Linked DNA regions of Oryctolagus cuniculus. The protein of the gene in region 2 interacts with the protein of the main gene of each other region in a biochemical or structural test. Links are inferred from orthologs where the notes say so. Each region holds a gene or a part of one and is shown on either strand. Other genes may lie near its edges.

What was found. The genes of interacting proteins can lie anywhere in the genome.
Region 1: the proteins of PTPN1 (region 2) and NTRK2 form a complex in vitro, tested with the Homo sapiens proteins (2 studies listed by BioGRID, with this or other methods). The link is inferred for Oryctolagus cuniculus from reciprocal best matches to the Homo sapiens genes PTPN1 and NTRK2.

The regions. Positions count from the first base shown.
Region 1 is NC_091432.1:135,622,143-135,625,659, reverse strand, and holds part of NTRK2 (BDNF/NT-3 growth factors receptor), read right to left. Parts: intron 638-3,517; coding exon 501-637; intron 1-500. UniProt on the Homo sapiens protein: Receptor tyrosine kinase involved in the development and the maturation of the central and the peripheral nervous systems through regulation of neuron survival, proliferation, migration, differentiation, and synapse formation and plasticity.
Region 2 is NC_091442.1:10,256,334-10,259,850, forward strand, and holds part of PTPN1 (tyrosine-protein phosphatase non-receptor type 1), read right to left. Parts: intron 1,219-3,517; coding exon 1,081-1,218; intron 1-1,080. UniProt on the Homo sapiens protein: Tyrosine-protein phosphatase which acts as a regulator of endoplasmic reticulum unfolded protein response. Mediates dephosphorylation of EIF2AK3/PERK; inactivating the protein kinase activity of EIF2AK3/PERK.

The DNA.
Region 1 (3,517 bases), on a different chromosome or scaffold from region 2:
CAATGGAATGAACAGACAAAAACATTCATTAGGATTCACACCCAACAACAAGATATGGAGGGTCTTTTTCCCCCATCTATCTATCTATAAGTAGAGATAAAGATAGATATAATCAGAAAAGCTTCTTGCTTGAATCAAACTCAGGCCAGAGGCAGTCATTGTCATTGTTATTGATATTGTCTTGATCTAGGTACAAAGTGCATACTGTGTGAAGCTCACTTAATCCTTGAATTCCCATCTACCTCTCTCAAAGGGAAAATGCCACAAGCAGAGTCATTCACCTTGCTCACTCACACAAAGAGGTCATCGGGGATAGAAAGAGTCCCCAGTTTATAACTACAATGCAAGCCAGCATGAATCTTTGCTGGTTAAGAATAAATAAACTTATAAATTTCCATGTAAACTATTAAATGAGCATCATGAGGCTTAATTCAATCTTGAGTTCTGAAACACCTATTGTCTTCTCTACTCACACAGAGAGAGCCAAGCCCAAGTCTTACCATGTGCTTGGAAACCAGATTACCGACATCCCAGTACAGATTAGGAACCGGGTCACCTGCCACGTTACAGGACAACGTGATGGATTTTCCTTCCTCCACAGTGAGGTTAGGGGCAGCCAAACTGGCCGATGGCAATCCTGTGGAACAAGAAGAGTCAACAGTCATATACAAATGGTTAAATGCGGTATCAAAATAATAGCAATAGGGGCCGATGCTGTGGCACAGTGGATTAATCCTCTGCCTGAGGCGCCAGCATCCCCTGTGGGCACCGGTTCATGTCCCAGCTGTTCCACTTCCAATTCAGCTCTCTGCTATGGCCTGGGAAAGCAGCAGAAGATGGCCCAAGTCCTTGGGCCCCTGCACCCACGTGGGAGACTTGGAAGAAGCTCCTGGCTCCCAGCTTCAGATCAGCACAGCTCTGGCCATTGCAGCCAGCTGGGGAATGAACTAGCGGATGGAAGACCTTTCTGCCTCTCCCTCTCACTGTCTATAATTCTACCTCTCAAATAAATAAATAAAATCTTAAAACAAAATAACAGCAATAAACTGAAAATTATTTATGCCTTAAAATCAATCACCATTTACTTTCTGCAACAGATCCATGTTGATCTGGACACATGTCAAGTTGATCAGCTTATCAGTGCGATGTGGACAAAAAGATGTATGGTAATAAGAATTGAAAAGAAATTATGTGGATTTCTTGAAACTGTTATTGCAGAGTGGCAATAGCTTTTGAATATCAAAATAAACTAGTTTTTTGAGCCGCGTTTTCCTTCTCTTTCTGCTCGAGTTGCCCCTCCAGCTTTTTGCACACAAACAGCCACTGTACCTTGGGCCAGCATCTCATCTTGCTTGTTAAGCCTGCCTCCTCCTCTCCAATGTTCTTTGGTCAGAAAGGATAGACACATCTACATTTTTAAAAAGATTTATTTCTTTATACGAAAGTCAGACTTACAGAAAGAGAGGAAGAGACTGAGAAAGGGAGATCTTCCATCTGCTGGTTCACTCCCCAGATGGCTGTAACAGCTAAGGCTGGACCAGGCCAAAGCCAGGAGTCTGGAGTTTCGTCCAGGTCTCCCACATGGATAGCAGGGGCCCAAGCTCTTGGGCTATCCTCTGCTGCTTTTCCCAGGCCATTAGCAGGGAGCTGGACTTGGAGCAGCTGGGACGTGAACTGGTGCCCATTTGGCGTGCTGGCATCTCAGGAGATGACTTTACCTGCTATGCCACACACTGGCCCTAAGATACATCTTCATTCTTAAGGGATAAACCCACTTTTTATCTTAAGTAACTCATAAATCGAACCATAAACACAACTCATAAAATCTAACCTAGAATTTGAAAGAGTCTGAATATAAAGAAAAAGAAGTGCTGAAGTGTTTTTCAAAGACATAAATTTCAAACTATCACAATATTGAAATGTCACAAAACTATATAAATCAGAGTTAAATATTGTGAGTAAAATTGGTCATCTTATTTGCAGTATGATGACAAACACTGTATGAATCTCTATTCTAATGAAAACTTCCTTTGTGGAAAAACTGCAAATGTGTTTATCAGATGATATTTTGAACCTTATAAACATGTCCTTTATATTTTAACAGTACATCATTTCTTTAAAGGTTTATTTATTTATTTGAAAGTCAGAGTTACACAGAGAGAGGAGAGGCAGAGAGAGAGAGAGGTCTTCCATCTAATGGTTCACTCCCCAATTGGCTGCCAAGGCCGGAGCTGTGCTGATCCGAAGCCAAGAGCCAGGAGCTTCCTCTGGGTCTCCCACGCAGGTGCGGGGACCCAAGGACTTGGGCCATCTTCTACTGTTTTCCCAGTCCACAGCAGAGAGCTGGATTAGAAGTGGAGCAGCTGGGACTCGAACCTGTGCCCATATGGGATGCCGGCACTGCAGGCAGCAGCTTTACCCGCTACACCACAACGCTGGCCCCAACAGTACATCCTTTTTATACTCTTACATTTCAAAGGCTAACAGTTGTTTTAAGTTGATGCTGCTATTCCTCCATTCACCTGCTACACCTTTGGGTGTGTACACGGTTCTATATTCCAGAGGACCCTAGTGTGTTGTACATGAAAGCAGGTGCCAGAGGGAGTAACGATAGATCAGGTCCTGTCAGTCACATCAGCCCCTCCCCTGGTTTGAGAAACTTTGCTTGGGACTGTGTTCACCCCAGCATCTGTGTCCTACAACACTCCCATACATCATTAGCTCAGAAGTCACCTGGAGGGCAGAACGGGCAATTCATCTTCAACAGCAAGCAGCCTGCCCTGCTAGCAACATCTGACCCACCAGATTCACATTTCTGTGCACGAAGCATCAATATGGAGTAATGTACACCTTTCTCCAAGTGTCAAAGAAACCCCTAAGACACTGAGCTACAAGGGCAAGGAAGTGTGTGAGAATGACTACAGGAGAGCAGAGTGTACAGGAATGAGCTCGAGCCCCTCAAACTGTGCTTTCTTCACAATGTCAGTGACCATCGGGTTTATAATTTACTAAGGCACATGTTAAGGCAATATATAAGAAATGGACTGAGAGAGAAACCTTCTTGAAATCAGAAGTATAATCAGTGACTCCTCAAAAATATATTTTGTTTTGTAAAAATCAAATATGTTAGAACTGGCGCTGTGGTGCAGTAGGTTAATCCTCCAACTGCAGTGCCGGCATCCCATATGGGCGCTGGTTCGAGTCCCAGCTGCTCCTCTTCCGATCCAGCTCTCTGCTACAGCCTGGGAAAGCAGTAGAGGATGGCCCAAGTCCTTGGGCCCCTGTACCCAGGTGGGAGACCGAGAGGAAGCTCCTGGCTTCTGGCTTTGGATAAACTCAGCTCTGATCACTGTGGCCCTTTGGGGAGTGAACCAGTGGATCTAAGACCTTTTCTCCATCCTCCCTCTCACTGTCTGTAATTCTACCTCTCAAATAAATACATAGAATCTTTTAAAAAAATCAAATGTATTGTCACACAGTTTGAAGACTATAAAATTCACCAGAGAGTCTAGATTTC
Region 2 (3,517 bases):
CAAAGGTCTCCTACATCAGCCTCCGGGCACTTTCACAGGCTGCCCGTGTTATTTCTCAGAACCCCCAGGAAGGCCCCCTGGCCCCCCTAGTTCCCCTCCCGGGGGGGCAGGGGTGGCGCGGGAGTGGCTGCACTTATCCACTCCCCAGTAACCTGTGCTGAGTCCCACTGCTTCCACTCCACAAGACTGCCAGGAGCCACGGGGCCGCACAGCACTATGTGGACAGCTAAGAGGTGACTGTCACGCAGCCCAGCACGCAAGCCCAGTGGGCCCCACCGCCCTCACCCCCCTCCAGGCTGCTACCCTCCACCCCAGCAATCTCAATCACTACACACCACCTTCCCGGAAACCCCTAACCCTATCTGATAGGAGGTGAGAGAGAGGCCAGCATCCCATATGGGCGCGGGTTCGAGTCCTGGCTGCTCCACTTCCCATCCAGCTCCCTGCTGACGCACCTGGGAAGGCAGTGGGAGACGGCCCAGTGCTTGGGCCCTGCTCCCACGTGGGAGACCTGGATGGAACTCGGGGCTCTTGGCTTCAGCCTAGTCCAGCCCTGGCCATCGTGGGAGTGAACCAGCAGACAGAACCCCCCTCTCTCCCCCTCTCTCTCCCTCTCTCTCCCTCTCTCTGCCATTCAGCCTTCCGAATCCACAGTTAAGACAGCTGCAGGTACAGGGGGACCTCGCCTCCAACGCCACGGCTGCAGAGCGGGCGCCGGCGCGGAAAGGCCTCCCCGCCTTGCACTAGAGCAGCCCCAGGGGCACCGGAGCGGGCGGCCCGCTCTGCCGGTGCGGAACTCGCAGCCCCGGCTCGGCCTCGGCCGCCGCACGCACGCACGCACGTGGGTGGGCCACGGTCCCGGCAAGGAACCCCTTCCCCTAAGACCTGTGCCCACGGGGGTGAGGGCTCTGTGGCCCGCCTGTCCTAGCCCTTCCCCAGGCACCTGGTGAGGCTGCAGGAGGCTCTGCCCAGCACATGCCGGCGCCACACCTCGTGCAGGGCGTACACAACCTGGAGACGGCGGCATCAGCGCCTATCACCCCAGGGACCGTCCCCCCAGGGACCACCCGCCATACTCACTGTAAGGTTTTCCAATTCTAGCTGTCGTACTGTGTAGTAGGACTTGATATCTTCAGAGACCAAGGTCAACTTCAGATTTGTGTCATCAAACATCATTTCTTTTTCTTCTCTCTGCGGCCAGTACTGCGCACATTTTAACTAGGGCAGGAAAACAGCAGGTTACCTCGAGCAGTGGACTGTGGCCCTGACGGGCGTGGTGGACGACCACCCAGAGGCCTGGGGACAGGCACAGCGGCGGGGCGCTGAGCACTGTGGGAGGGGACAGAAACAGCAGGTAGGCAGGGGCTGAGCCGCACAATGGCCACCCGATGACTCGGGGCCTCCCTTAATGCACCTGCACGGAGCCACAGGTGGCAGGGGCGGCTTCAGGGCCAGTGCTACAGATGTGCTGCGGGACACGGGGGAGGCAGGTGCTCGATTCCGGCCACAGTTCCAGGACAGCGATCAGAGAAGGCTCTGCGGGAGGCCGCCCAGGACTTCCCAGGGCACGGCTGCGAGGAGCCAGGCTCGGGGAGCAGCAGTGAGCAGGCCCAGCGGCCAGGGGACCTGCTGCAGAGGCTGCAGCCAGGGAGCGGCTCTCGGGAGGGTAAGATGGAGGCACAGGTGTTCGATGGTCCCTCTCCACACCCCAAGGCAAAAATCGAAAGAAAGTAAGAAAGAGCCCCAGGCTGTGAAGCTGGCGCAGGGCTCCTGGAAGAGTGCGGATGCGGCAGGCCAGGGCGAGTCTTGGCACTTTCAGCCCTGTCACCTCCACAAGCTGACCAGGAGCCGCCCATGCCGAGCCTCTGGAGTAGGCGGGACCAGTCTGTGGGTGCAGAAGCCACCCCGTCACCCAGGAAATGGAACGACGCACTATACAGCAAGACCCTTGGTGCCAGAGTGGACGGCAGCTGAAAACTAGACCTTTGAGGAACAGGACAGGATCCCCGCATTGCAACAAAGGGACGCTACAAGGCCTCAGACCCAGCCCAAGACGCTGCCAACAAGGCGGGCAGAGAGAAGGAGGGGCAGGTGCAGAACAGTCTCTCCCTGGGGGGCTGGGGAGCAGGCCACACCGCCTTTCAGCTCTCCACAGCACACACACACTGGCCAGACCAGAGCGGCACAACCTTTGCAATCTGCAGGGATCCTGGCACACGGCTAAGTGCTTGCCAGCCACAATTTATCTCTAAGAACTCTTCAGCAGCTGCAGTAACCTGCTCTATTCCACTGTCATTTCTGGCACAAAGCTTTTAAAAAAGATACAAGATGTAGAATGGGCACATGGCCGCCACCGCTGCTACCCCGCCACGCCGGGCAGCCCTCACCAGGCTCAAAGCAAGGCGCCAGAGAGGGGCTCGGCGGTGCCAGCAGGTGCACTGCCACTTCCACCATGAAGGCAGTCTCAGAGGGGCCTCGGGGCCTTCCAAAACAGCCAGACCCTCGTAAGGAAACTCCTAAGAATCTCACCCACGGGGACCCGGGTGGACGGTTCCGCTTTCCCAAAGAATGAAGCACAGAGTCCGGGCGCCGCAGGAAGCCCAGGGCAGCTGTGGCACAAAAGGCAGCGCCCTGCGCGAGCAAGCACCTGGAACCCAGCCGCCGCGTCGGGCCGCAGGAGCTCCGGCGGAAGCTCTGGAAGGGCGAATCCCACTCGCCCAGCAAAGACCGCCACGTGTTCCTTCCACACTGAGGCGCCTGACGCCAGCTTCCACAGGGAGCCAGTGAAGACCCTGGCCATTGGATGACCCCAGGCTAACGATCACCTCTGCATAACTGGGTTCCTGGACACAGGGGCCCAAAAAGCTAACAGGCAGGTGTGCCCCAAGCAGGAGGGGAGCGCCCTCAGTTACTGTGCGGGGCCAGCTGAGCCTGGACAGCGCTCCTGCCAAGCCGCCTGTCCCGCGGCTGCTGGGCGGTTTGTAGTCGGTCAGCTACCCCATCAGACCGGCACTCCTCAGGCCTCTGAGCCCCGAGATGGGAGTGATGATGGCGGCCGGGACCTGGAAAGGCCGATTCCACAGAAGCGTCAGGAAGCTCCCTGACCCACACGCCGCTTCTCCTGTCCACGGACCCCCGAGAAGGACGGCAAGTTCACACAGGAACACACACGCCGCGAGGAGCCGTGCGGCCATGCTTCCTTGCTGGCTGGCATGGCGGCCCGAGGACAAGGCTGTCGCTGTGGACCCCAGGTCTACTCACGGTCAGCCACAGGTAGGGGACAACCAGGAGCCGCGACCGCAGTGCTGGGCACGGCTCCGCGTTACAACCTGACAACAGCCGCTAAAGCAAGCTGTGGACTAACAGCAAAAAGGTTGTACCGGCTCCTTTAGCAACAGAGAAGCTAATAGGCAACAGTGCTGCGACGGCCGACGACGTCTGAATGAGCGTCTTTGACTAAAACTCCCAGCCCTAGAGCAGCGCTCTGAGCGGTGGGCAGCGGACGAAGTCTGGAGTC